7 linked regions of the Sus scrofa genome follow. The protein of the gene in region 6 purifies or fractionates together with the protein of the main gene of each other region. This does not show direct contact. Links are inferred from orthologs where the notes say so. Each region holds a gene or a part of one and is shown on either strand. Other genes may lie near its edges.

Region 1 (3,500 bases), on a different chromosome or scaffold from region 6:
TTTTTGTATTGACTGGGTTGATATGTGACCTTTGCTCTTTTTTCTGATTATAAAAGTAAAAGTAAAAAAAGAAATGAAAATACCCAAGAAATAAGGTGTTAGAGAAAGTCTCCCGTAATTCCAAGAAGTTATTTATTGGAATGAATAGTATCTGAAGTTTCCTATGTGTGATGAAGTCTGGGGTGTGTTCTGGGGAATGTAACTGGGCCACAGGACACAATTCAGGAAATGGTTGTAAATCCATTTTGATTTTATCATTGTACAGTTTTCTAAGTATATTGTTCTTTTCTGTCTTTTTGTTCCCTGACCCTCTAGTTTTCTGTTTATCTTTCATACTGTTTTATAACTAATCTTTGGGTAATTTCCTTTATTTTACCCTTTGTACTTAATTCAGTGGAGAGTAGTAGTATTAACAGTTACGCAAATTGTATCTTCACTTCCACTGTATTAAGATGCAACCATCTCAGAAACTCAAAATAGCAGTCATCATTTTTTGGCAAACTTTTTTGCCAGAGAGCTAAAGGCTTACTTAGTCTAGTTCTTCTGGAATGGTAACCTCTTTCACCAAGGCTTTTGGTTTCATTAGTGCCTCTAAATTAGTTCTACGTCTAGCTTGACCCAGATTTTAGTTTTTTGGGTTTTTATTTTTGTTTGTTTTTGCTTTTTAGGGCCATACCCAAGGCATATGGAGATTCCCAGGCTAGGGGTTCAATCGGAGCTGCAGCTGCCAGCCTACACCGCAGCCACAGCAACACAGGATCTGAGCCTGTTACCTAACACTACAGCTCACGGCACAATGCCAGGTCCTTAACCCACTGAACAAGGCTTAGGGATCGAACCTGCAACCTCATGGTTCCTAGTCGGATTTGTTTCTTCTGTGCCACAACAGGAACTCCAGATTTCAGTTTTTATTATGGACGTTTCCTTCCAGTTTTCCTTTTCTTTCAGTTTGTTTATTTAATACTGAGAAATTTTCAAAGTTTTATTTCCTTTTATCTGGCAACATATGGATGATTTTTTAAAATTATATATTTTAGTAAACAAGTAGGTAAGTAATGTTAAAGCATATAAGCAGCTAAAGTATATCAAGGAAATCATCGCCATAGCCATTTAAATAAAACATTTTTTATTCCTATCATTTCATCTGGTTTTTTTTGGAAGTATTTTGTTTGATACGTACTTGAAAATTTTAGAATTCTATTTTAAGTGTATAGTGTGAAATTCTAAATTTCTTTTGCATTGATTAAACATAGTGGTTACTCTTTATATATTGTTATGTTGCCTGTGGCTTATCAATGTCTGATTTCATCTCCAAGGAACCTGAATGATCAGTCTCAGGTGTTTTTTTCCTCTGGGAAAAAAATCTTCAGATAGATAATACTGAAATATGAAGTCAGATTTTTTTTTTTTTTTTTTTAAGATAAAGTAAGTTTGAGTCATTTTTCTGTAGTGGAAGAGTGAATGTTAATAAAACCAAACTAAAATGAGAGGCTGCGACAAGTTTAAAAATAAACATTTTATGTTACGGCAGACGTGAGGGAACTCTGTGAGTTCATGAAACAAGGCATGTTTGACCTTAAATTGTTCAGTTTTTTAGATTGAGATCAGTTGTTCTGAGTTTGGGGTGGTTGTGGGGTGTCTGGTTCTTTTCTTCCTTTCAGTGTGACAGCTATGAAATTCGCCCTGGTAAACACCTTGGAGTGTGCATTTCTGTGGCAAACAACAGGCTTTTTGTTGGATCAATTCCGAAGAATAAGACTAAAGAAAACATTCTGGAAGAATTCAGTAAAGTCACAGGTAAAACAAAAATGTATTTAGAAATTAGTTTTGGAAAATCTGTGGTACTATTTATAAGTGCGAAAAAAATGGGTATCTTTTTGTTTGTTTTGTCTTTTGGTCTTTTTAGGGCCGTACTTGCGGCATATGGAGGTTCCCAGGCTAGAGGTCCAGTTGGAGCTCTAGCCACCGGCCTAGGCCACAGCCACAGCAACGCCAGGTCCAAGCCATGCCTGTGACCTATACCACAGCTCACGGCAATGCCAGATCCTTAACCCACTGAGCGAGGCCAGGGATCAAACCTGCAACCTCATGGTCGGACCCATTTCTGCTGTGCTACGACGGGAACTCCAAAAACGTTATCTTAAGCTAAGTATTCACATATCTATTCAGTGTCTAAATTGCTTCCTTTGTGCTTTTTAGTGGTTTGGGTGAAGCAGCTTTCTTTATATTCTGAATTTCTTGGAGTGTCCCCTTCACTCCTTTGCCTTAACCGAATCTTGGCTTTTGCCAGGGCCTCTGTCATAGCCTTCAGCTTTCCCCCCTGACATTCAGTGTGCTTTAGGGCCAAGATGATGAGAGTTCTTATCCTCATCCGTCCTCTTACCTTGTCTAGATCAGATTTCTCTGAGTTTCCAATTCTAAATTCATGGGGTTGATTGAGAAGAATATTTTATATCGCAGAGGTATGTACAACAAAATTTGACAAAATCGTATTTCACTTTATATGATTTAGTTTGATATTTCCTGTTCCACTTCATTTTGTTAAAATGCTGATGGAGATCCACTAATGCTAGCTGCATTTTTATCTCCTTTTTATAGCTGCACCTGCAGCATATGGAAGTTTCTGGGCCAGGGGTGGTCCATCAGAGCCACAGCTGAGGCTTATGCCACAGCAACAGCAACCTTGGATCCAGGCTGCTTCTGCAACCTACGCTGCAGCTTGTGGCAACGCTGGAGCCTTAACCCAGTGAGCCAGGGCCGGGATTGAACCCACATCCGCATGGAGACAGTGTTGGGTCCTTAATCCTCTGAGTCACAATGGGAATTCCACTAACTTCATTTAAAAAACATGTTTTAGGAGTTCCCCTTGTGGCTTAGGGGGTTAAGAACCTGACATAGCGTTCCCGTCGTGGCGCAGTGGTTAACGAATCCACCTGCATGAGGTTGCAGGTTCTATCCCTGCCCTCACTTAGTGGGTTAAGGATCCGGCATTGCCATGAACTGTGGTGTAGGTTGCAGACGCGGTTCAGATCCCGCATTGCTGTAGCTCTGGCGTAGGCTGGTGGCTACAGCTCTGATTGGACCTCTAGCCTGGGAACCTCCATATGCCGCAGGAGCGGCCCTAGAAAAGGCAAAAAGACCAAAAAAAAAGGAACCTGACATAGTGTCCATGAGTTTGCTGGTTCGATCCCTGGCCTCACTTAGTGGGTTAAAGGATCTGGCACTGGAGTTCCTGTTGTGGCTCAGTGGTTAACGAATCCGACTAGGAACCATGAGGTTGCAGGTTCGAGCTCTGGCCTTGCTCAGTGGGTTAAGGATCTAGTGTTGCTGTGAGCTGTGGTGTAGGTCGCAGACGCGGCTCAGATCCTATGTTGCTGTGGCTCTGGTGTAGACTGGCAGCTACAGCTCCGATCAGACCCCTAGCCTGGGAATCTCCATATGCTGCGGGTGCGGCCATAGAAAAAGACAAAAAAAAAAAAATCTGTCATTGCTGTGAGCTG
Region 2 (3,500 bases), on a different chromosome or scaffold from region 6:
GCCTGCACAGCCACAGCAACACGAGATCCGAGCTGAGTCTGTGACCTACACCACAGTCATGGCAATGCGGATCCTTCCACTGAGCAAGGCCAGGGATGGAAGCTGGGTTCTCATGGATGCTAGTCAGATTCGTTTCTGCTGAGCCATGATGGGAACTCCTGAAATACAAATATTTATATTCCTTTGCCATCATGGGAAGGCTTTATGAAAAAAACGTAGTTTTCTTTGGATTGATGCTTTGTTTTGGTCTAAGCCAGAGGTTAGCACATTTTGACATACTGGCCAAAAGCTTATTTATGTAAATTTTTGTTGGAACACAGCCGTGCTTCTTTGTTAACCTGTTGTCTCTGCCTGCTTTCCAGCTACACTAGCAGAGTTGAGTAGTTGTAACAGAGATCATAGGATCCACAGAGCCTAAAATATTTTCTCTCTGGTACTGTATAGAAAAAATTTGCCAAACCTTACTGCTTTAGTGATACAGGGTTATAGGGGTGAAATTGGTTAAATTGCATGCTGAGGAAAAATAATTGCTGATTTTGTTCTGAGTAATGACTCATGACTGTCATTCGTGATTCCAATAGAAGTATTATGGATTCTAGGACCATGAAAAAGATGCTCTTAAAAATAAATAGGAAGGATTAATGAATTATCATTTTTATGGAGTGATTACTACTATATAAACCATCAAACATCTCCCTGTTGAGTAATAATTAAAAACTCCTACAAATCGAGGTAAAATTTTTATGACTATCAAAGGAAAGCCCATAGGAATGAACAGACAAAATTAGAGCTATGTACATTTATTCTAGGTATTCCTGTTTTCAAATTGGGGGTTTGGTTTGAGGCCATTTAAAAACATATTTTTTTAGAATAAGTTTTTAAAAATCATTTATAACTAAAGTTCTTTTTAAACAGAATTCATTTTTTGTATTTGGGTACATAACATGAAATTTTGTAATTGATCATTTCACAGTTATTCTGTAAATTGAAGACTATTAGCATCATGATTGACAGTAAAATGTGTAGACTTCTCTTGGTCTGGTCACTTAGAATTATCTCGGGTATTTATTTCATTCTTTGTCCTTCAGTAGAATAGGATATGTATTAACATAATTAGGAAATATGCTTTCACCTTTCTAATATTTTGAGTAATTATACATTTAAGAATAGGATTTGGGAGTTCCCGTCATGGCTCAGTGGTTAATGAATCCAACTAGGAACCATGAGGTTGCAGATTTGATCCCCGGCCTTGCTCAGTGGGTTAAGGATCCCTAGTTGCCGAGAGCTATGGTGTAGGTCGCAGACAAGGCTTGGATCTGGCGTTGCTTGCTGTGGCTCTGGCGTAGGCCAGTGGCTACAGCTCCCATTGGACCCCTAGCCTGGGAACCTCCATATGCCATGGCTGCGGCCCTAAAAGGACAAAAGACAACAACAACAAAAAAAAGAATAGGATTTGTATGATTCAGAGTATTCCTTTTTTTTTTTTTTTTTTGGCTTTTTAGGCATGTGGAAGTTTCCAGGCTAGGGGTCAAATCAGATCTGTAGCTGTCGGACTATGCCACAGACAAAGCAACGCAGGATACAAGCCGCGTCTGCGGGATCTACACCACATCTCATGGCAACACCAGATCCCTGACGCACTGAGCGAGGCCAGGGATCAAACCTGTATCCTCATGGGTACTAGTCGGTTTCATTTCTGCTGTGCCACAATGGAAACTTCCAGAGTATTCACATTTAGCTGATATTTTTCCATATTTTATTACAATAAAATTCTCTTTCCTCAAATATAAATTTGAAAGTTTATATTGCAGAAATAAAATGAACTCATTTTTGGAGTTGGTTTTGATTCTGGGATTGCTTTGGAATCCTCAAGAGTTTTTTTTTTTTTTTTTAAACTACACTTTAATTTTTTTACAGGGTGAAAGTTTACACAAAAACTGATGGACTAGTTGCTATTCATCCTAAATCTGTTAACGTGGAGCAAACAGAGTTTCACTACAACTGGCTTATCTATCACCTGAAGATGAGAACAAGTAGTGTAAGTGAATGTATAAAATAAGGCTCTGAATAACAGGCTTGTACTTTTTAAATTGTATAGTTTTTATATTTATAAACAAAATCTGTTCTCTTAAAAAAATTTTGTTTCTGACATGACGTAACTTGAAGCAGATAACTTGTACTTACAATGTGCAGGTCTGCCATGATGGATCTTTTTATTTTAATTGGGAAGGTTATTTGATTTGTTTACTTTTTTTTCAGAGCATGCTTTCAAGAAATACTGATATTTTGATATACAGAAATCTACATTGTACAAAGAATTTTGTTTGCCTGTCAATACACCTTATATGTATTGGTCAGAATATTAAGTGGGAGTCTGTTTATAGATAAATAGAAAACTTCAGCTACATTGGTGTTTTATCACTCAAAATATTTTGTTTAAAGAATAGTGCTTTTTTTATATTGAAGCAAAATATAAAATTCCTTTGTTCTCTGAAGTGATGAAGAATGGCTTGTTTAAAATAGTATTTCTTCAATATTACTCTTTGTAATTACGCTAACAAGATAATACCTGTTTTAGAAGGAATGCACTAACAGATTGATACTAGTGATGTTACTGAGTTAATGTGGTGGTAATCCTTTCAGACACCTTAATGTATTAATTTGCCTTGATTCTCATTATAGATATACTTGTATGACTGCACAGAAGTTTCCCCATACTGTCTCTTGTTTTTTGGAGGTGATATTTCCATCCAGAAGGATAGTGATCAGGAAACTATTGCTGTAGATGAATGGATTATCTTTCAGTCTCCGGCAAGAATTGCCCATCTCGTTAAGGTGACTGACTTTACATGATTGTCTTTGATTCTGCATATAAGTTAGTATGTGGTCTTGTGATCTAGTTACATTAAACATTTGCTTTATTTCAGCAGAGCAGTTGTGTTGAGAAATAGATTCATAGTTTTTTTAATTGTTTTTTGAAATAATTACGAACCATTTTCAGTGGCTCAATATGATGGAATTTTGAATTTTTTTACTCAAGTCATCTACTCATAATTACACTTTAGTTAGTTGCCAACTAAATATTTCAGTCTTTTGTATAATAGCTTACTTATGAAATTCCTTGAACCTGCTAAAGTCACTTTTTATTACATTGTTTGCTAGTATATCTTCCCTTATTGAACATGTGCAATTTTTCCAACTTTAGGAATTAAGAAAGGAACTAGATATCCTTCTGCAAGAGAAGATTGAAAGCCCCCATCCTGTAGACTGGAAGGACACTAAATCCAGAGACTGTGCAGTACTCTCAGCTATTATAGACTTGATCAAAACACAGGAGAAAGCAACTCCCAGGAATTTGCCGTCACGATTCCAGGATGGATATTATAGCTGACAGCTTTTCTGTGGTGGTCTGAAAAGTCAATTTGACAGCCATTTTCCATCATGGTTTAACTTTTGGCTTGATGCCAAACCCTAGGACATGAATACTTTTCATGTGTAAG
Region 3 (4,266 bases), on a different chromosome or scaffold from region 6:
GAGTGCTTTAATAATTTTTATCAGTCATTGATTCTTTGGCACATGGTAAATCATTATTATGCTGCAAGAGGAATGGTGTTGGATGGTCAATGCTTAAAAACTGTTTGAGTGAAGATTAGTAGTAAGTCATTCCCTCACTTCTTTGGCAGTGTTCCTAGCATAGCCACTTATAGGAAAATATTAAAAATATTATCTTGTTAAAGTAGGGTGGAAACATTTTTATATTAAGGTAGGTAAGGTTTTTTTTCCTACTGATAATGTTTTACTTATACTGTCATGGGTTTTTGTAAAATAACAGATTGAAGAGACTTTGTAGAACCGCTCTCCATGTTTTTGGTTGTATTTTGGATTTTCTCTTTATAAATGTTCAGAGTCAATACCAGGCCATCACTTTGGTGTATCTTTTTTTTTCCTCTTGGCCGCACCATGGTATATGGATGTTCCTGAGCCAGGGATCAAATCCAAGCCTCAGCTACGGCAACACTGGATCCTTAACCTTCTGTCCCAGGCTGGGGATGAAACCTGATCTGTCTCAAAGACAATGCCAGATCCTTAACCTGCTGCAACACAGTGGGAACTACACTTGGGTGTATATTTAGCAGTCACTGGGATTACTTGTCCAGGGGAAGCAGCAGTTGAGCAGTCAGTGATTTTTGAGAACTAAATGTGTGCTGGACACACTAGTGAATAGTGAACAAGATAAACAATATTCTCTGTTGAAACTTTGAGTGGAGCTTATGCTGAATGTTAGAATTGATAGTGGTAGTGGTATTTATGCCCAGCTAATACATGAAATGCCTGTTTCTGTAGGCCAAAAATGGTTAATATTGGCCATTTTATTGGTTCAGTGTACTGTTACTAACTAATGGTAGTTACTTGTATGTTTCTGTGGTTAAAAAGATCAGGCAGGGGAGTTCCCGTCATGGCGCAGTGGTTAACGAATCCGACTAAGAACCATGAGGTTGCGGGTTCGGTCCCTGCCCTTGCTCAGTGTGTTAACGATCCGGCGTTGCCGTGAGCTGTGGTGTAGGTTGCAGACGCGGCTCGGATCCCGCTTTGCTGTGGCTCTGGCGTAGGCCAGTAGCTACAGCTCTGATTCGACCCCTAGCCTGGGAATCTCCATATGCCGTGGGAGCTGCCCAAAGAAATAGCAAAAAGACAAAAAAAAAAAAAAAGATCAGGCAGGATTTAGGTAACAAGAGCGCTGTTTGCAGGCTTGGTTGAAAATAATGTTCTTTTGGAGTTCCCACTGTGGCACAGTGGGTTAAGAACTCAACTTCAGTGGCTTGGTTCACTGTGGAGGCACGGGTTCAACTCCCTGGCTTGGTGCAGAGAGATTAAAAGATCTGGCATTGCTACAGCTGTGACATAGGTTGCAGCTGCAGTTTGGATTTGATCCCTGGTCCAGGAACTTCCATATGCTGAGGGTGTGGCCATATTTTAAAGAAAAAAAGTAATGTTCTATTAAAACTGCCATTGTACATAGGAACCTTTTATGTCCAATGCTTAAGGCAACCAACCATATTATTGGATGTGTGTGTGTGTATATGTATTTTCTTGAAGGAAAGTGGCTGCAGTATTAAATATCAAAGAATAAAGAATTTTACTGGCCTTTTGAATTAAATTAGCAAAAAATTATTATTGTAAGGCGGTGGACAATATTTTACTATTTAATAAGGAGACTGTTTGAATCTTCCTGACTCAATTTTAGTGGTGAAGGAATTCTTTTTCTTTTTCTCTAACAGGATGTACAGTTACCCAGCACGTGTTCCTCCTCCTCCTCCTATTGCTCGGGCTGTAGTGCCCTCAAAACGCCAGCGTGTATCAGGAAACACCTCACGAAGGGGCAAAAGTGGCTTCAATTCTAAGAGTGGACAGCGGGGATCATCTTCTAAGTCTGGAAAGTGTATGTATTATTATCGCAGCTTTATGATTCTTATATTTCTTGTGTGTTGAAATAGGGAAATTAATGCAGTTAATAATCAGGTTTTGTACAAATGACTTTGGATAGTCAAAATTATAAAAGGTGACAAATAGTGATTAAAGGGCCAACTCTAAACAACCTAACGCCTTGGTAATTTGAAAAAAAGTCATTAGATTTTAGAGAGTTGAAATACCTATTCAGTGTATGAAATGTGTTAGTAAAACAGAACCGAAAATGCTTTAAAATAGAATTGAGGTCTTTGGCTTGCCTTAATGTTAAGAATGCTGCTGCTAAGGGATAGGCACATTAGATTCAGTTTTCAGCTTCCACCTAAAAGATCAAAGGTCCCTGTTACTAGGACAATTTGGTACAGGCTCCATTTCCCTCCAGGGATCTCATGTTGGTTACTGTTGTATAGTCTAGGTGAAGAGTGTGTTTGAGTCTAATCTAGATTTTATTTGTATTAAAGTAAAAGGAGATGACCTTCAGGCCATTAAGAAGGAGTTGACCCAGATAAAACAAAAAGTGGATTCTCTACTGGAAAGCCTGGAAAAAATCGAAAAGGAACAGAGCAAACAAGGAGGTAAATAATGGTCCTACACTTGTTGGGTGTAAAGTAGGGTTAGTTACCTAAGATAGTTGAAAGTGTATGTTGGAGTAGTGGGATATAAAGCAGTTGATGAATTTGAAACTTGTGGAGTTTGAATTGGGAAGGGCATTTGTGTGGGAGGATTTAGACTTGTGCTGCATCTCTGTGATCATTAGTGGGGATTGTCTACATCCTGTGGACATTACTTGCCCCTAGACAGACTTGTCCTTCTCATCCCCAGTAGAGATGAAGAATGATAAGTCAGAAGAGGAGCAGAGCAGCAGCTCCCAGAAGAAAGATGAGACTAATGTGAAGATGGAGTCTGAGGGGGGTGCAGATGACTCTGCTGAGGAGGGGGACCTACTGGATGATGATGATAATGAAGATCGGGGGGATGACCAGGTGAAAACCACGGGAAAGGAAAGAAAGAGGTGGTGGAGGGGGGATCAGGGACACATGGAGTGCCTCTAACTCCATCCTATTTGTGTCTGTTTCTCACAGCTGGAGTTGATCAAGGATGATGAAAAAGAGGCTGAGGAAGGAGAGGATGACAGAGACAGCGCCAATGGCGAGGATGACTCTTAAGCACATAGTGGGGTTTAGAAATCTTGTCCCATTATTTCTTTACCTAGGCGCTTGTCTAAGATCAAAATTTTCACCAGATCCTCTCCCCTAGTATCTTCAGCACATGCTCACTGTTCTCCCCATCCTTGTCCTTCCCATGTTCATTAATTCATATTGCCCTGCGCCTAGTCCCATTTTCACTTCTTTGACGCTCCTGGTAGTTATGTTAAGTCTTACCCTGTAATTTTTGCTTTTAATTTTGATACCTCTTTATGACTTAACAATAAAAAGGATGTATCGTTTTTATTAACTGTCTCCAAAATAATCTGTTGTTATGCAGGGAGTACAGTTCTTTACATTCATACATGAGTTAGTAGTTGCTTCCCTAACTGCAAAGGCAATCTCATTAGTTGAGTAGCACCTGAGAGCAGCTTTGAGTTAGAGGTATGTGTGTTATACCCCACATAAGAGTGCTGTGTGGGGCTGTTCAACACAAATGTAACAATGTATTTTTGTGAATGAGAGTTGGCATGTCAAATGCATCCTGTAGAAAAATAATTAGTGTAATAGTCTTAAGATTTGTTTTCTAAAGTTGATACTGTGGGTTATTTTTGTGAACAGCCTGATGTTTGGGACCTTTTTTCTCAAAATAAACAAGTCCTTATTAAACCAGGAATTTGGAGAAAAAATAAACACCCTGGTTTTTTATTTTTGTATTTTATAGTTGTTTACTTCAAATTCTTTGTTCCACAGCAGCTTCCACAAAACCCCTAGAATGTACTACTAGATAATGTTTTTCTTTGAGTCATAACTACTCTGCATACCAACATACACAACTCAAATTGTTTTGCTGGGGTGGGAGTTGAATTAAGGAGACAAGTGACTTGTGGAGTGGAGATTGTTTTGCAAATATGGCTTTTAAATACTGATGATAAAGTTTGGGAACTACATTAAGCTGTTTTTGTCGGTGCTTTGTGGTCCAGTTAGCACCCTTTTTGAGATTTTTTTATTGTGTGCTAAATTGTTCCATTTCTAAATAGAAGAGGCTCAAACATGTCAAGATTTTAGGAAAAGGTGAAACAACTGGAGAATGAAAGCTGTATTTTCTTCAATTTTAGTTCTTTTGATTGCTATTTATAGCCCTAGTTACCATGTGGATTCTGAGTCTATGCCTCAGTGTTACTGAAAA
Region 4 (4,244 bases), on a different chromosome or scaffold from region 6:
ACATTATAGAGTGTCTGCTATTTCAGGGTCTGGTCCATGAAACCTGTCACTGGTGGGAAAATGATAAAGGGGAGCCTCAGGTAGTGAAACCACTTTGAGGGGGTCAGAGTCAGAACTACCTGTTAAGGAACTCTATCTACTCCCTAAAAGGGAGCTCCAGTGAGGGTCTCCGCTTACAACGCAGCCCTATTTCTCCCAGAAAAGCAGTAATCCCAGCGAGTCGTGGGGTCAATCTGCCACCTTTCTAACTTTCTCAGAATTAGGACTCCACTCCTTATGAACAACTGCAAGTCTGGAGAGTTATTTTCTAAGTTAATTAAAGATACCAATGCGATTAAAGCTGAGAGAGCAGGAGATCATTTCTAAAACTTGGTGACTACACCCAGCACACAGTCTAGTTCCTTTCTCCATTTGGGACAAATGGCTTCTGCTCACCATCCTCCCTCCCAGATGCACCCCGACGTCTACTGCCTGCCTACTCTTCAGTCTGCAGCCACCTCCGCCAGGGCACCGGTCCCACCTTTGGGTGACTGCCCCTGGGACCAGGACGAGACTCTTGGGGTGGCCACACCCCAGGGATGAGACCTCCTCTGGTGACCGTCTCTCAAGGGACTGGATGTGGCTTCCTTGAGGGGATGATACCCCAAGGTCAGGCTGAGGTCTCCTCGGGGTGACCAGCTCCTGGGGATGGACGCGGATTCCTCAGGTGACTGACTCCTGGAGACGGGAAGGGGCCTTCTCTGGGTGACCAGTCCACGGGGGCGCGAGAGGGCCTCCTTGGAATGACCGGCGCAGGGGATGACAATGGGGCTTTCTTATGGCCATCGGCGACGGGCCGGGCCTCCTCCTCGAGGCGACCAGCTTTCAGGATGAGAACTCTTCAGGGTGATCGGATCCCGAGGACACAACGTGGCCTCCTCGGGGTGAGCGGTTCGCAGCGGGGCCGGGAAAGGGATTGTCCGACTGGCTTCCGCGGACAAGACCGTCTGGGGTGACCGTACCCCAGGGATGCGAGGAGGCTTCCCCGGTGACAGCTCTAGGGGTCATAAAGCGGAGGAGGTGAGGCCGCCGCCCCGAGGCCTCCCGGAAGCTCGCGCAGACCCCGCGCACCGCCTGGGCCGGGCGCCCCTCCCGCGGGCCGGGGATCGTGTGGGTAGGGGTCTCAGGCTCCGGCTGCCCGCCCCGCCCCGCGGCACCGCCTCTTCCGCCGGCCCGCGGACGTCAGCCGTCGCCGCCCCGCCCCGCCCCGCCCCGCCGCTGCCGCCGCCGCCGCCCGCGCGAGGCCGCCTCCGCCTGGCCTGGGCCTGGAGCGGCGCACGGCGCAGGTCCCTCCCCGCCATGGCCCTGGGAGGCGGCAGCACATGGCGGCCGCAGCGGCCATGAGCGCGCCCGCGGCCCGGCCCGGCCCCCCCTAGAGCCCGCCCCCGGCCCCGGCCCCGGCTCGCGCCACGGCCCCGCCGCCCCCGGCCCCGCCGCCCCGCCGCCCCGCGCCCGCCGCCGCCGCCGCCATGGGCGTGCAGGGCTTCCAGGACTACATCGAGAAGCACTGCCCGAGCGCCGTGGTGCCGGTGGAGCTGCAGAAGCTGGCCCGGGGCAGCCTGGTGGGCGGCGGGCGGCAGCGGCCCCCGCACACGCCGCTGCGCCTGCTGGTGGACGCCGACAACTGCCTGCACCGCCTCTACGGCGGCTTCTACACCGACTGGGTGAGCGGCGGCCAGTGGAACCACATGCTCGGCTACCTGGCCGCGCTAGCCAAGGCCTGCTTCGGCGGCAACATCGAGCTCTTCGTCTTCTTCAACGGCGCGCTCGAGAAGGCGCGGCTGCACGAATGGGTCAAGCGGCAGGGCAACGAGCGCCAGACGGCGCAGCAGATCGTCAGCCATGTCCAGAACAAGGGCACCCCGCCGCCCAAGGTCTGGTTCCTGCCACCCGTCTGCATGGCGCACTGCATCCGCCTGGCGCTCATCCGCTTCCACGTCAAGGTGCGGCCCGCTGAGAGGGCGGGCGGGCTGGCCGGGGTCGGTAGGGGCCGACGGGCCGGCCAGGGGCAGGGTTGGAAGCCCGGGCCGGCCGGGGTCGCTTCAATTCAGGGTCAGGGTGGGCCGGGATCTGGAGTCCGCGGTCAGAGTTGGACTGGAGTCTGGAGTGGGCGGGTGGTCTGGGGTCCGGGCCTGGGTCTGAGTCTGGAGCCCGGGGCCGAGTCCGAGTCTGGAATCTGCGTTTGGGCCGGGGTTGGGATCTGGGGTCTCTGCGGGCCAGGAGCTGAAGTTGGAGCCGGGCTGGGGCCGGGGCCCCGGTGGGGGTCTGGGCCCCGGGGACCGCAGGTTCCTCTCCCCTCCTGGTCTGTCTGACGGACCTGCTGCAAAATGGACGCGCGGCCTGGAGTCCGGCCGGCGGCTGCGAGTGCCCGGGATCTGGGGGCCTGGGTTGCCCCAGGCGGTAGCTGCAAGCTCGGAGGGCACAGTGCCGCCCTTGCTGAGATCCCGCGTATTCCTCCACTCTTTAAAGCTCCTAACGTCAACTTTCATGAGACATTCGTTTTCGAATTTCGCAAGACTTGAACAGCAACAGGTTTTTTTGTGGGAGCAGGTGGGCTGGCTGGCAACAGGAAGGGGTCTCCATCCATTGAGGGTGGATTGAAGTTCTGCCTACTGCGGTCACTCCGGCTCAGCTGGGGGCAGTGACCTGGGCAAGGCCTGAGGAATTGGTCTCTTCTTGAGAACTCAGGCCTGGGTCCAGGTTCCCTGTAAGATGGTAGTTTTTCGAGAAATTGGTTTTTGTGTGCATTAGATTTCAAAGAGCCATAAAGTTTGACATGGAATTCTGTTAGTTCTGTACTGAGAGTCTGCGTGAAAAAGTCTTTGGTTCTGTGTATGTGATGTGAAACGAGTAGCTTAAAAGTCAGGGCGAAGAGAATGTGAATCAGAGTTTCCAGGATTTATTTCTCTGCACAGTGAAGAGTCTGCCACTTTGGGCTGTGCACTCAGGTAATCAGAGCTTCGACTGTCCAGCACTCTGCTGTCCATTTGGCAGAAGGCTCCTCCCTGAACTCAGGCCAAGGAGTGCTTCAGGACCCAGCAGTGATGGCAGAGATTACATGCAAATCAATGACCCTTGACTTGAGTTTCGATTGCTTCCTTTTCCACAGTGGTTCTTTTAAAAATTTTGGGGGGGGCTGTTTTGGTTTTCTGACTGCTGCCACTCTGCCTTCCAATGTGTTTGTCCTTCCTTTATTTCTGCTTGAAACTGTGCCTGATCCCAAAGTTTGTGAAATTCGAACTTCCTGACTGCTCTGCCTGTGCTGAGATGGTGGGGGTTAAGCCTAAAGTGATAGCGGAAGTCCCACCCGCCTCCTGTTGCAATTGGTGACAGGGCTGCTAAGTCTGCCGGTTGAGGCTGCTGCGAGAGCGTGGATTGGCCTGTGAGTGTGGCAGAGACCTAGCCTGCGTCCCTGGGGAAGTTCGGGTGAGAGCCGGGGACTGCCGCTGCTCTGCCCTGGAGCCTGTGCTCCCTGGAAAGTAAAACAGTACTGATTCCCAGGTGTGGTCCACCTTCAGATGATACCTTAAGAGGGTTAACAGTTGTCCAGAGATGGAAATTACTATTGAAAAGACTACGAGCTGTCTAGTAACGTGGCTTTCAGAAGAACACCTGAAATATTACTTAGGATTAGATTCAGTGTGTATACATGGTCGCTGTATCTGTTGAAAGGATGGCTGAATTCTTTTTTTTTTTTTTTTTTTTAATCTTTCCTAGGGCTGCTCCCTCGGCATATGGAGGTTCCCAGGCTAGGGATCTAACCTGAGCTGTAGCCGCCGGCCGATGCCAGAGCCACAGCAACGCGGGATCCAAGCCACGTCTGCAACCTACACCACAGCTCACAGCAACGCCGGATCCCCAACCCACTGAACAATGCCAGGGATCAAACCCGCAACCTCATCGTTCCTAGTTGGATTTGTCAACCACTGAGCCACGACGGGAACTCCCTGAATTCTTTTTTCATTGTAAAATTAGATTGTAAAATTTCTTGATATTTGTGCCTCTGCTCACTGCTCACTTTTACCTACTAAGTGCTCAGAATTTTGACCAGATCTTCCACTTAGGTTTCTGAATTCAAGGTAATTTTGTCTACAATTATTTTGCTTCAGATAGGCTTTTAACTTCTGATGTAGAATTACAATGTAGTACAGTTGTACACTTTAATATAGCAAGGACTCAATTCCCTGGTGGACACTTACCTGGCA
Region 5 (4,183 bases), on a different chromosome or scaffold from region 6:
GGAATGCAACTAACAGTCCGCCTAGAAGCATTTGCGGTGGACGATGGAGGGGCCGGACTCGTCGTACTCCTGCTTGCTGATCCACATCTGCTGGAAGGTGGACAGCGAGGCCAGGATGGAGCCGCCGATCCACACGGAGTACTTGCGCTCTGGAGGCGCGATGATCTGGAAGGAGAAGGGGACAGTGAGGCGGGTGGCGGTCAGAGCCCTGGTCCCCAGAGCACCCGCTCCGCGGCGGCTGCCGTGGCACCCACGCCGCCCGGCCGCACCCGGCCAGCTCAGGCTGGGCACTCACCTTGATCTTCATCGTGCTGGGCGCCAGGGCCGTGATCTCCTTCTGCATCCTGTCGGCGATGCCTGGGTACATGGTGGTGCCACCCGACAGCACCGTGTTGGCGTAGAGGTCCTTGCGGATGTCGACGTCGCACTTCATGATGGAGTTGAAGGTAGTTTCGTGGATGCCGCAGGATTCCATGCCTGAGGGGGGAGAGAAGCCCGACTGAGCTTCCGCTGTGGCCACCACCGGGTGAGCCAGGGGGGGCGGGGGGAAGGCAGGGCCAGGGCTGCGTCCTCACCCAGGAAGGAGGGCTGGAAGAGCGCCTCGGGGCAGCGGAAGCGCTCGTTGCCGATGGTGATGACCTGGCCGTCGGGCAGCTCGTAGCTCTTCTCCAGGGAGGAGGAGGACGCGGCAGTGGCCATCTCCTGCTCGAAGTCCAGGGCGACGTAGCACAGCTTCTCCTTGATGTCCCGCACGATCTCCCGCTCGGCCGTGGTGGTGAAGCTGTAGCCCCGCTCCGTCAGGATCTTCATGAGGTAGTCGGTCAGGTCCCGGCCAGCCAGGTCCAGACGCAGGATGGCGTGGGGCAGGGCGTACCCCTCGTAGATGGGCACCGTGTGGGTGACCCCGTCTCCGGAGTCCATCACGATGCCAGTGGTGCGGCCAGAGGCGTACAGGGACAGCACGGCCTGGATGGCCACGTACATGGCTGGGGTGTTGAAGGTCTCGAACATGATCTGGAGGGAGGGAGGGACGCTGTCACCCTCGGGAAGCCGCCGGGGGCAGTCAGGCCGGACTGGGGACATGCAGAGAGTGCAAGGAACACGGCTAAGTGTGCTGGGGACCCCAGGTCGGGGAGTCACGTCAGACCTACTGTGCACCTACGGGATACACACTCCGAGGCCCCTTTACGGCAGCCTCGTCGGCTTTGTCACACGAGCCAGTGTTAGTACCTATACACCCACAGCACCTTATGCTTTTAACACCTAGTCAGAAAGGCAAACACGAGAAAGACTCCAGCTGGGGAAAAGCAAATAGAACCTGCAGAGTTCCAAAGGAGACTCAGGTCAGAGAAGAAAAGTCCTAGGAAAATGGCAGAAGAAAGAACAAGTGAGAAAGGGCGTGGCAAAGAGGGGCAAGAGAGGAGGGGGCGGCCGCCCGAGAGAGCCCAGTGGGCCACTGACCTGGGTCATCTTCTCACGGTTGGCTTTGGGGTTCAGGGGGGCCTCGGTCAGCAGCACGGGGTGCTCCTCGGGGGCCACACGCAGCTCGTTGTAGAAGGTGTGGTGCCAGATCTTCTCCATGTCGTCCCAGTTGGTGACGATGCCGTGCTCGATGGGGTACTTGAGGGTCAGGATGCCTCTCTTGCTCTGGGCCTCGTCCCCCACGTAGGAGTCCTTCTGGCCCATGCCCACCATCACGCCCTGCGGAAGGAGGGGCGAGGCGCCTTCAGCCCGGGCCCGGCCCCACCGGCCCCCACGCAGAAAGCCTCCCCCTTCCCTCCACCTGCTACCAAGACCCCACCCACCAAGTCAGACCCGAGGGCGGCGCCCTACCTGGTGTCGGGGGCGCCCCACGATGGAGGGGAAGACGGCCCGGGGAGCATCGTCGCCCGCAAAGCCGGCCTTGCACATGCCGGAGCCGTTGTCGACCACGAGCGCAGCAATATCGTCATCCATGGCGAACTGCAGGGGCAGCAGGACCGTGAGCCGGAGGCCGGGTGCGGCCGCCTCCGCCCTACTCACTTCCGGCGCGACGCGCGTTCGAGCCGCCAGGGGGCGCCGGCACGCGCCCAGATTGGGGACAAAGGAAGCCGGCCGGCCGCGTTATTACCATAAAAGGCAAACGCTGGTCGGAGGCGGCCCCGAGGCGCGCGGCAGGAAGCCAGGCCTCCGCCCCCTCCCCACTGGGCGCCAGCCCCGCCCCGCCCAAAAAGCGCCACTCGGCGGGCGCGCGGCGACCACACCCGGGGCGGCCCGTGGCTCCGCGAGGAAGTGCGCGCAGGCGCTCTCGCGCCGCGGCGACCCCACCCCTTCCGGCCGCCCGCCCCGCCCTCGCCTCCTGGGCCTACGGCGCACACGCACGCGCACTGGCGTCCCAGCCCCCACCCGGCTCGGCCACCGCGCCGCGCCCACCCACCCGCCCCGCCGCCCGGCTGCACTGCTCTCCCGCCGGCGGAGCGATCGGCCCGCTCGGACAAAGAATCGCCGCCGCTAGGGCTCCCAAAGAAACACTCTGGGAGCGCTCCCCGAGCGCAGCCCGGGCCCCGAACGAGGAGCGCATGAGTCCATTCCCGGCACCCGGCCGGCTGTCCACGGGGCCGGGGCGGAGGGGGCCACCTGCCCACAAGAGGCACGGGCCCAGCGCATCAGCGGCCCGGCCGGTGCGGGGACCCTACCTGGTAGCGGTGTAGACCGGCGGCGAAGGCGGAGCGGCAAGGGCGAGGGGCCTGTGCTGGCGGAGTGGACGCGGTCTCGGCTGTGGCTGTGCGTCGCGCCGCCGGGTTTTATGGGGCGCAGTCGCGGCGGCTCGAGCCATAAAAGGCAACTTTCGAAACGGCGAGCGCTGATTGGCCCCGCGCCGCTCACTCACCGGCCTCGCCGCACAGTGCAGCATTTTTTTACCCCCTCTCCCCTCCTTTTGCAAAAAAAAAAAAAAAGAAAAAAAAAAAAAAAGAAAGAGGGAGGGAGATGGACTGGCTAGGAGAGAGCGAGAGCGAGATTGAGGAAGAGGAGGGAGAGAGTTTTGGCGTCGGCCGCCCTTGGGTGCTGGGCCCCAACAGTGGGCCGCCGCCCGCCTGAGCAGTGTCGGGTCCGGCCCCGCTTGGCCAGGCCTGCACCCGGCCTGCTGGTCTCCGGGTCTCCCCACCCCGGCACCCTCCGAATGTGGATGCCCCAAAGCAGTGAGCGCCCCTGTGGGCAAGGGTCAGCACGGATGCGAGAGTCCCTGGTTGCTGTGGGTGCATGCTTAAGGAGCAGGTGGGGGAAAGGAGTGATGAGAGAGTCACCCTCCCCTTGGCGACATTAGCTCTGCTGCCCAGAAAGCCTGGGTAAGGGGGGGCCCCGACTGGGGGTGCTGAGCTTGCTAAGTGGGGGTGCTGAGCTTGCTAAGGGGGCACATTACTTAGAGACCGTGGGCTTGAGGGCTATGGTGGGGCATGCTTGAGTCAGGGGACTTGGAGACACGTAGCAGGGGCTTCAGGACTGCAGTCTCTAGGGACAGGACAGGCCCCAGGGGCTGGGGGCTGGAAGTTCCCCGTGAAGAGGGCTCCAGGCCTCCCTTGCTGCAGGCCCAGGAGAGGTGGGCTCCGTAGAGCAGAGAAGCTGTTCCCATGGAGCTGGGCTGCGGCTGAGGCTGCCTGGTCACACCCAGCCAAGGCCAAGCCTGGGCCATTAGCTGGCGACCCAGGCAGCTGCCAAGCACTGCTGGCTGCAGGCAGGCAGGGCCACTGAGCACAGCTCTGGGACCCACCATCCATCGTCTGTCTGTCACGTGCAGCCACAGCTGAACTGCCCTCCTAGACCATCTGGAGGCCACCAAGGACTGGGGAAGGACATTCAATGTGCCAGAGAGGAGTTAGGGGGAGGGGGGTGGGGCAGCAGGGACCAGCTGGGGCCCACTCCTGCCCTGGTCTCTCCACCAAACACGGGGTCAGACCTGGGTGCCCCCGGGTGTTCCCAGTGGTTCCCTGCTCTGGGAACTGCCTGTCCAGCAGGGAGAGCCTGCACCCAGGCGGGGGCCACCAGTGGGCAGTGAGTGGCCGAAGGAAGCCCAGCGGGGCAGCGTGGAGGTGCACCTTCTCCGAGGCCGTGACAAGCTGAATTTTCCCACAAAGGAAACAGGGCAGAGGGGTCCAGGTGGGGGCCCTGGCCTGCCCTCGGGCGTCTGTCTCCAGGTCTGCCTAGG
Region 6 (4,241 bases):
CCGAGGAATACAGGACCAAACTTAACAGCTTTCCTACCAGAGAAGTGTGGCACGGAGGCCCACAGGTTTTGTTAAAGTCATTGTGAATAAAATAGCCCCTACGCGCCATCACAGGCATTGAATCCCCTTCCTCGCATCCCCAAATCTAAGACCTCCCTCTTTTGGAGCGCTGATTGGACGAACAGCCTGAGCGCTTTCCAGAGGCTGCTCGCCTACTGGCTCCCGATTTGGTCCATCCACCTAACCGCCCAACTCCCGCATCCCCCATTGGAGTCAAATCGTGGCCTCTTGGAGGAGCCCAACCTACCGCGCGCTTCGTGCTCATTGGCTCAGTGAGATGCTGCTCAGGAGGAGAAAGCCCGCCTCCCACATACCGATGGCCCAAGGACCGATGAGTCGGCAGCTAAGGACAGCCCCAATTGGCCTATACACTCGCCAGTCAAACTCTTCCGCTGCAAAGCTCCACAGAACCTACGGGGATAAAACATCCCGCCCCCGTTCTTCCATTGGTTGGCCGATCTCACCGCTCCCCCTTCACGAGCCCCCACCCCGAGGTCCATTCATTTCACACAATAACGGGCCCAGTTGGAGTCAGTTCAAGACCTCGTATGGGTAGGCAAGATGGTCCGCCACTTACCGGGGGTCGAGACCGATCACTCACGCTAACGCCTCGCCTGTTCCTCTGTGGTGCGGCCGGACCACAAGCCACCGCCGCCGCCGCCTTCTGCGCAACGCCAACCGCCCGCCAAAACGGATCCTTCCCTGCGCCTGCGCGACCAATCCTGGGACCCGACCCTTTCCCCGCCCATTACGCCTGCGCAAAAGGGGGCACAACTCCCGCCACTACGCAGGCGCCTTAGGTTCGCCGCTGTCTCCTGCCCGCCATTTCACGTGTTGCAAGCTCCGGGCGGAACTTCTTAGCGCGCCTGCGTAAACTCGCCATTTTACTACACATGCGCTCAGCAGGCGATCTTGCCCCCGCCCCCGTTCCGCCAAATTGTCACATGCTAGCTACTTTTTTGATACATAGTATTAAAAATGCTTTGACACAGGCGTTGAATATTCCGGACATAGCTAATTAAAAAGTTATCTCAATACCCGAAATAATTCAAATATGAATCATTGGTTGACCAGCCAATCAGTCTAGTTAAGAATAATATTACTTAGGAACCAATGGACCGGGAGGGGTTGAGACTGCGTAGAACGCCCAAACGGATGACGTTACACAGCAACGCATACGAGAGACCAATAGTGGGGGAAAGCTATGTCAAATATCCAATCAGAGCTACTCAGGGGCGGAGTCTACCAATGCCGAACGCGAGGAGGCGGGATAAAAAAGCGAGGCCGAAGGTAGGCTGGCAGACTCGTTCGTTAGATTACTCCTTTCTGCCCCCGGACGCCGCCGAGTAAGCATCGTTGTAACCTCCTCCCCACTACCGTCATGTCTAAGTCAGAGGTGAGTGAGACTCTTTTTTCATCTGCGTTTTCTTCTTCGCCGCTTGCTGAGTTTGGTAGGGTGCAGTCTGGTTTGGCTGCTTGCACCAGCCTTTTCGGCAGTTCTTCGGTCGCTGCCGGGGCCTACCCCTCCCTGAGTTCAGGTCGCCATTTTGTCCTCGTCGCCATGAGGCTGTCGTCGTGCAATCCTTGGTTATCACGCTGCTCTCGTTCTTTTTTGCAATGCTCGTGGACACATTCGGTCTGTTTTTCATCCTTGTCCTAGTGGACGACTTTCTTAAAGAGTAGCTGTAGTCCAATTTTGGCGATGCACGCCCTCCCAGTCCTTTTGTTGCGCGTGCGTCGTAGGGAGAGTAAGGGGCGCATGCGCTCGCCGCTTCCCAGCCCCCAACATACCGCCTCCCCAGATGGGGAGAAGCACGTGGCTTACAGCGACCCGAGGGAACAATAAAAGCTTCGTACGTTGCTACCTGGTGTTGCTTCTTGTAGCGGGGAGCTTGTTTGCGTTATAGCCCTATTTAACGCTTTTTTTGCCCCTACTTCTAGTCTCCCAAAGAGCCCGAACAGCTGCGGAAGCTCTTCATCGGAGGTTTGAGCTTTGAAACAACCGATGAGAGTCTGAGGAGCCATTTTGAGCAATGGGGAACGCTCACAGACTGTGTGGTAAGACTTGGAAGAGACAAAAGGCCTTAGAGCTAGTTGTTTTTCTTGGCTTATCTCGCTGTCGTTGCTGTTTGAATGCTTATGAAGATTCCTATTGACTTTATAGCTTACTTGACAAAGGAAGGTGTGGCTTCATAGCTGAAAAGCTCCCAATTGTTAGGTTTAAGGGGTGGGGGCGGTGGTCATTGAAGAGCTTCGTTTAGAGGGTTGGTAGAAAGTTTTCCATTGCCTTAGTCAAGGTAGAAAAGGCTGTAACTTCTGGTGTCTTACCATGTGCTAAATAAACATTAAAGGTAATGAGGGACCCAAACACCAAGCGCTCCAGAGGTTTCGGGTTTGTCACGTATGCCACTGTGGAGGAGGTGGATGCAGCCATGAATGCAAGGCCGCACAAGGTGGATGGAAGAGTTGTGGAACCAAAGAGGGCCGTCTCAAGAGAAGTAAGTGATGTTTTTCTTGTGTTTCATCGACTGGAAATGTTCGATTAGCAGGATTCACTCACATTAAGGGGATGTAACAGACTTAGTATTAACATGGTCTTAGGATTGTTACTATTTTCTCCCCCTTTAGGATTCTCAAAGACCTGGTGCCCACTTAACTGTGAAAAAGATTTTTGTTGGTGGCATTAAAGAAGACACTGAAGAACATCACCTAAGAGATTATTTTGAACAGTATGGGAAAATCGAAGTGATTGAAATCATGACGGACAGGGGCAGTGGCAAAAAGAGAGGTTTTGCTTTTGTAACTTTTGATGACCATGACTCCGTAGACAAGATTGTCAGTAAGTAGCAGGTGGTTGGCATTCGCTAAGAGTTCTGAAATCCATTTGTGTCCTAAACTCTGAGATGGTGTCTTACTTTCAAATTTTTCAGTTCAGAAATACCACACTGTGAATGGCCACAACTGTGAAGTGAGGAAAGCCCTATCCAAGCAAGAGATGGCTAGTGCTTCATCCAGCCAAAGAGGTGAGTTTGTTGCTTAATTAAACCTTAAGCATCATTTTGAATGATTTTAACCGGTACAATTTAACGTTAACATTTTTTTCTTCAGGTCGAAGTGGTTCTGGAAACTTTGGTGGTGGTCGTGGAGGTGGTTTTGGTGGAAATGACAACTTTGGTCGTGGGGGAAACTTTAGTGGTCGAGGTATGTATGGTTTTTTATTATTTTAACGCTTCTTAGAATTTAGGCTTAGAAGGGTGTGATTTGTATGCGATCCACATACTTCAAACCTGGCTTTTAAATTCTGTTCCAGGTGGCTTTGGTGGCAGTCGTGGTGGTGGTGGATATGGTGGCAGTGGGGATGGCTATAATGGATTTGGTAATGACGGTAAGTTTTTTTGTTTTTACTGTTAAAATTTTGTGTGTGCGTGTGTGGGTTTTTTTAGTTCGTTTTGTTGTTGGATTTTTTTGTTTTTTAAGAAACTACAGGTAAAAAGTTTGACTACTTTTAGAATAGGCTAGTAGATACTAAAACTTTAGTGCATGATAAGTTCAAGTTTGACTCTTACAGCATGTTGTGAGCCGGCCTTTAGCCATCATGCTTGCACAGAATTTGAATGTTGAATACTTGTGTCTTATTGAGAAGAATTGTATTCTTGTAGGTGGTTATGGAGGAGGCGGCCCTGGTTACTCTGGAGGAAGCAGAGGCTATGGAAGTGGTGGACAGGGTTATGGAAACCAGGGCAGTGGCTATGGCGGGAGTGGCAGCTATGACAGCTATAACAACGGAGGAGGCGGAGGCGGCTTTGGCGGTGGTAGTGGTAGGTATCCAGTGATCCAAGTACTTGGTGCAAATAGCTAGCTTAGCCATATGGGAACTTGATGCTCTCTAGGCATAATGTGTTTTACTGCATGGTACTTTCTTTTAATGGGCTTGCAATGCTACCTCCTCCTAGCTTTAAGCTGGGGCCGCCTCACTCCCAAATAGATTAAGGGGGATAGTGGTGCCTACAGTTAATCGGGATTAGGTTAGCTTTTATTTAGGCACTTAGTTGATGTATCCAGCATGTGTTTGCGGTGCCCCTGGATGGGTAACAACAGCCTTCGAGGCTAGAGACTATACTACTTGCTCTACCATGGTGAGTCAGGGGTAAATTTCTAGCTACTGGATTATTCAACTGAAT
Region 7 (4,018 bases), on a different chromosome or scaffold from region 6:
ATATGGAGGTTCCCAGGCTAGGGGTCGAATTGGAGCTGTAGCCAGATCTGAGCCGCCTCTGCAACCTACACCACAGCTCACGGCAATGCCGGATCGTTAACCCACTGAGCAAGGGCAGGGACCAAACCCACAACCTCATGGTTCCTAGTCGGATTCGTTAACCACTGCGCCACGGCGGGAACTCCTCGCAGGCCCTCTTAGTGGATTGCATGAATCTGGTTTCACAGTCCCTAAACCCTGAAGCATCTTTTTTTTTGCAGGGGTGGGGTCGGGGGTGGGGTGGTAATTTAAATATTTGCCTCAGATTAGCTACTTGCACTTTCTTTCCATAAACAGACTTTTCTATACCATGAGCTAGCATGGGATCATTGGGTTTCTTAAGAATACCTATTTGAATTTTGTAGGACCTGTTTTCCGTAATTATGCTTCGCCTGAGTCTTCTCATACATTTTTACCTCCTGCTTTTACTTTTCCCATCCCTCCCAAATCAACTTCTTTTGACAAACTGTTCTCCTTCCTTCACTATAGGTTGTCCATTCATAATCTGACCCTATTCCAAGCACTCCCTTAATTTATTTAAAAAGCAACCTGCTTAATCAGTGATGAGTTTCTTTATATTTTCCTCTTCATGAATTGAGTCTCCAAAAATAAAATGGTAATAATTAATAATCCTAGAACACATAAAAAAATAATCTGCTCCACTGCCTCAGGCAGAGTAGCCACTTCAGCTACCATCCACCCTGTCGCTCAGGTGCTCTGAAATGTCTGCTTTTCCCTGGGGACTTGAGGGTCACCTTCAGAAACCTTAGGCCTTCTCAGCCCAAGTGATAATCACATGAGCAACCTCAACCTACCAATCCCTCCCTAAACCCTGCTCTCGGAACAGCCTTTGTCGGTTTCCAGGATTTGGTTCCCTCTTTCTTCCTCCTCGGCAGGAAATGACTCTCATTTTCTTCTGTCACGCTGGTCTTCAATCCAGGGATCCTTTGGGCTCACTGTTGGGGAAACTCTCCCAGATGATACCCTTAGAGACGCCGGAAAAACCCATAAGCCTTGCCCTCCCCTCCCTCGAGCAGGATTCGCCCACGTAACCCACCTTGCCACTTGCAGCGCCCTCGCACCGCAGGCCCCGGCCCGGTCCTGCGCCTGGCCGACCAATCCCCGACTCCGCTCCGGGCGCGTCACAACGGCGCCCTTGTGGCCCCACCCCCATAACCCGCCTTGGAGACTCCGCCCCGCCGCGGTCTTTACGTCCTTCCGGCTCCGTCTTGGAAGTGGGGTTGCGCCGCGTCTTTCAGGAGCGAAAGGTGGGGTTCTGCAGAGAAAACGGCCCGCGGTCACGCCGGCAGCCGGAGGCGGGGGCGGGGGCAGGGGCTCCTGGGGCTGTTGTTCCCGGGTATTTGGGCGCAGGTCTGAGGAGGGGAGGGTCAAGGCAAACCAAGGCATAAGGGCTTCCGGAAGCGCCGCGTGCGCACGACGGGCGGGAGTTGTGGACTCAGGCCTTCCGCGCGCCTGACCCCGCCCCTCGTAAGCCCCGCCCAGGGCGCGCTGCCAGAGGTTTCCATAGTGATGGTAAACAAGCCTCAACTGCCTCTGCTACAACTGCCAAGTCCCCCGCGTTCCACCCTCTTCTAGGTGCTCACAGGGTCGACCGAGGTGCCGGATGTGAAGACGAGCGGGAGCGTGGAGACTCGGAGCCCAAGGTGAGGGGTGGTAGGGGCGGCGTGTCCGAGGCCTACACACCAGAAACCGAGGCCCCTGGCATTGAGGACCGAGGAGCTGAGATTTGGGGGTCAGGGGAGGCGGGATCTGTGGTAAAGGCCTGCACCTGGGCCTACTGGAGGTTGAAGACCGTGGGGCTGAAATTTGGGGTCTGAGATCAGGAGCCACACACCTAGGGACCGACTAGGTCCTGAACGAGGACCTGGCCCACTGAGGGTGGGGCCTGCGGGACTGAGATGTGAACTTCGGGGAGGTGGGCCTGAGGCCACTGGTTTACATTCGGGGACTGGATCGCGGGGCTGAGGTTTGGTGTCAGAGGACGCAGGATCGGAAGGGAGGAAGAGCCTGGTGCGGACTCTTGGGGTGGGGAGGCAGAGCCCGAGCGCCCCTGCCTGGGGTACGGTGAAAACATGGGGCGACCGTGAGAGGGGGTTCATTTAAAAATGAAAGCAGTACTTTCACGTGGCTGCGCGCGTCAGGGAGTTGCACGGGACTGGTTGGGAACTGACTCCTCCCCCCTCCCACGTTCCCGCTCGCAGAGCCTCCACTTTCCGTCTTTGCGGCCTTTTCTTCCTCTCCGCGCCGCGTGTGTGCCCTGAGCCGGTCTGCATTTGTCTCCTGCTCTCAAAGGTAGCATGTGGATATTTTGGTTGAAACTGTTCGGTTCTTGTTGTCTTTGCCTGGTGCCCACACTTCCGCTGGGGAAACTTGGTCGGCCGTTTTTTTATTCTTCACTTATCCTTTTATCTTTGAGTGTATTTTTGCTAATTCGTGACTGCGCCCCAGAAACTGCTGGACGCTGCCGGCGCTCGCGCGGCTCCCTCTGCCTCCCAGCCCCCGCGTGGCCCACGTAAGGTGGCGCCGAGCGGTCTGGGTGACGCCGCGCGAGACGCGGGGCCCGACCGACCCTGGGCCCCGGTGTTTTACGGTTAGGAGGCCTCAAGCTCCTCCCGGTTAGTCTTTTCCTTATCAGGGGACCCCCACAGGTTCCCGCCGGACGAACCTCAGGCCCGGGAGAGCCTGCCTCCCTTCTCCGGCTACCTGCGAGCCCCGCGAGACGCCCTTCGCGGCAGTTTCCTTCCCTTGGAGGCCCTACGACAAACCAACGTGCTTCACAGCTATTTTCGAGCCAGAGAACCTGGCGTGGGGGGAAGGAGTTGCCTGCCTCGGCGGGCGGGTTGTTCAGCGGGACCGGGGCCCGAGAGCTGCTGTGGGGGTGGGGGAGGGGCCGGGTGGCCGCGGCGGCTTCCGCGGAACCGGCCGCGGCTGGCGGCGGTGGGGGGAGGGGGGCCCAGGCTCCCAAAGTTAGGGGCGGGCCTCGGTAATCGGACCCTTGTAGAGCCGGGAGAGTTAGTTGAAGGCTGCAAATAATCCTTAAACGAATGCGTCAGCGAAACTACCGGTCTTGATATTCTTACTATTACTTTTAAGTCACGTTTTTAAAAGTTAACTATTTGTGCGTTTCTAGTAAGAATGAACAAACCTCGGGTTCTCCGGTCAGACAAAAATATTAGGATCTATCAGTGAAAAGTGATGTTTTCAGTTCTAATGAAGATAAGCTCCTTCATTTTAAAATAAGTAAATTTACTAGTTAAGCAAGTTCGGCCTTTGCCTCGGGGAGCTCCTCTTAATAGTATGCGTTTCTGTAAATTGATTAGATTTATTCTTTCCGTGTTATAGTCTACTTTTTAATTTTTAACTGCTAAGCGACTGATTTTCACTTGAGTATTGTTAACGTACCTCCCTTATAAAGTAACTCAAGTAAAAATGAGAATGGTTTAAGGGGAGGGATTGATTAAACAGGAGGAGAGTTAGTCCTTTGATAAGGTCAAAACTGGGGAAGACAACAAAAGACAAAAAGACAAAAAACAAAAAGACAAAAAAAAAAAAAACTGGGGAAGAGTGGAGACACACGTGGTGCGTGCCCTTTGGAGTAGTGCCTGGTGGGGCTACAGAAGTGGGAGGGGGGCCCCCCATCGACAGAGGTGACTTTCCCATCAACCTCCCCTCTCCAGTCTGAGTTTTGGCTCTCAGACTCTTTGTGGAATCACACTGATTGGCCCTCAGTAGTCCAGACACAGAGCTAGGTGTTTTACACTTTTCTAATCACATGCCCGCGATCAGTCCATAAGGAGATATTACTGCTATCCCCATCATACAGATGTGTCCTAGAACACATCTGGGACTGTTCTTAAGTCTGTCTGACGTGGGACATCCCTCTGCCAGGACCCCTGCCTCCAGTTAGTTGCTCTGAACAAGGGTTCTTGTGGAAGACAAACGATTGGGCAGAGGGAGA

Evidence for each region.
Region 1: the proteins of HNRNPA1 (region 6) and HNRNPR purify together in Homo sapiens (affinity purification with mass spectrometry; 7 studies listed by BioGRID and IntAct, counting the BioPlex papers as one, with this or other methods). This does not show direct contact. The link is inferred for Sus scrofa from reciprocal best matches to the Homo sapiens genes HNRNPA1 and HNRNPR.
Region 2: the proteins of HNRNPA1 (region 6) and DHX36 purify together in Homo sapiens (affinity purification with mass spectrometry; 3 studies listed by BioGRID and IntAct, with this or other methods). This does not show direct contact. The link is inferred for Sus scrofa from reciprocal best matches to the Homo sapiens genes HNRNPA1 and DHX36.
Region 3: the proteins of HNRNPA1 (region 6) and HNRNPC purify together in Homo sapiens (affinity purification with mass spectrometry; 8 studies listed by BioGRID and IntAct, with this or other methods). This does not show direct contact. The link is inferred for Sus scrofa from reciprocal best matches to the Homo sapiens genes HNRNPA1 and HNRNPC.
Region 4: the proteins of HNRNPA1 (region 6) and FAM120A purify together in Homo sapiens (affinity purification with mass spectrometry; 4 studies listed by BioGRID and IntAct, counting the BioPlex papers as one, with this or other methods). This does not show direct contact. The link is inferred for Sus scrofa from reciprocal best matches to the Homo sapiens genes HNRNPA1 and FAM120A.
Region 5: the proteins of HNRNPA1 (region 6) and ACTB fractionate together in Homo sapiens (co-fractionation; 3 studies listed by BioGRID and IntAct, with this or other methods). This does not show direct contact. The link is inferred for Sus scrofa from reciprocal best matches to the Homo sapiens genes HNRNPA1 and ACTB.
Region 7: the proteins of HNRNPA1 (region 6) and HNRNPF purify together in Homo sapiens (affinity purification with mass spectrometry; 3 studies listed by BioGRID, with this or other methods). This does not show direct contact. The link is inferred for Sus scrofa from reciprocal best matches to the Homo sapiens genes HNRNPA1 and HNRNPF.

Annotation. Positions count from the first base shown.
Region 1 is NC_010448.4:81,215,417-81,218,916, reverse strand, and holds part of HNRNPR (heterogeneous nuclear ribonucleoprotein R), read left to right. Parts: intron 1-1,661; coding exon 1,662-1,797; intron 1,798-3,500. UniProt on the Homo sapiens protein: Component of ribonucleosomes, which are complexes of at least 20 other different heterogeneous nuclear ribonucleoproteins (hnRNP). hnRNP play an important role in processing of precursor mRNA in the nucleus.
Region 2 is NC_010455.5:94,301,834-94,305,333, reverse strand, and holds part of DHX36 (ATP-dependent RNA helicase DHX36), read left to right. Parts: intron 1-1,917; coding exon 1,918-2,038; intron 2,039-2,682; coding exon 2,683-2,835; intron 2,836-3,205; coding exon 3,206-3,391; 3' UTR 3,392-3,500.
Region 3 is NC_010449.5:77,966,145-77,970,410, forward strand, and holds the end of HNRNPC (heterogeneous nuclear ribonucleoproteins C1/C2), read left to right. Parts: intron 1-1,745; coding exon 1,746-1,906; intron 1,907-2,393; coding exon 2,394-2,507; intron 2,508-2,754; coding exon 2,755-2,915; intron 2,916-3,014; coding exon 3,015-3,098; coding exon of another isoform or gene 3,099-3,116; 3' UTR 3,117-3,766; downstream 3,767-4,266. UniProt on the Homo sapiens protein: Binds pre-mRNA and nucleates the assembly of 40S hnRNP particles. Interacts with poly-U tracts in the 3'-UTR or 5'-UTR of mRNA and modulates the stability and the level of translation of bound mRNA molecules. Single HNRNPC tetramers bind 230-240 nucleotides.
Region 4 is NC_010445.4:42,860,150-42,864,393, forward strand, and holds the start of FAM120A (constitutive coactivator of PPAR-gamma-like protein 1), read left to right. Parts: upstream 1-1,444; 5' UTR 1,445-1,508; coding exon 1,509-1,982; intron 1,983-4,244. UniProt on the Homo sapiens protein: Component of the oxidative stress-induced survival signaling. May regulate the activation of SRC family protein kinases. May act as a scaffolding protein enabling SRC family protein kinases to phosphorylate and activate PI3-kinase.
Region 5 is NC_010445.4:4,087,584-4,091,766, forward strand, and holds the start of ACTB (actin, cytoplasmic 1), read right to left. Parts: upstream 2,801-4,183; 5' UTR 2,676-2,800; intron 1,963-2,675; 5' UTR 1,957-1,962; coding exon 1,834-1,956; intron 1,702-1,833; coding exon 1,462-1,701; intron 1,015-1,461; coding exon 576-1,014; intron 478-575; coding exon 296-477; intron 166-295; coding exon 22-165; 3' UTR 15-21; exon of another isoform or gene 1-14. UniProt on the Homo sapiens protein: Actin is a highly conserved protein that polymerizes to produce filaments that form cross-linked networks in the cytoplasm of cells.
Region 6 is NC_010447.5:19,483,736-19,487,976, forward strand, and holds the start of HNRNPA1 (heterogeneous nuclear ribonucleoprotein A1), read left to right. Parts: upstream 1-1,441; coding exon 1,442-1,456; intron 1,457-2,001; coding exon 2,002-2,118; intron 2,119-2,411; coding exon 2,412-2,558; intron 2,559-2,688; coding exon 2,689-2,899; intron 2,900-2,990; coding exon 2,991-3,083; intron 3,084-3,168; coding exon 3,169-3,261; intron 3,262-3,370; coding exon 3,371-3,445; intron 3,446-3,719; coding exon of another isoform or gene 3,720-3,878; intron 3,879-4,241. UniProt on the Homo sapiens protein: Involved in the packaging of pre-mRNA into hnRNP particles, transport of poly(A) mRNA from the nucleus to the cytoplasm and modulation of splice site selection.
Region 7 is NC_010456.5:61,665,146-61,669,163, reverse strand, and holds the start of HNRNPF (heterogeneous nuclear ribonucleoprotein F), read left to right. Parts: upstream 1-1,218; 5' UTR 1,219-1,307; intron 1,308-1,635; exon of another isoform or gene 1,636-1,703; intron 1,704-2,261; exon of another isoform or gene 2,262-2,352; intron 2,353-4,018.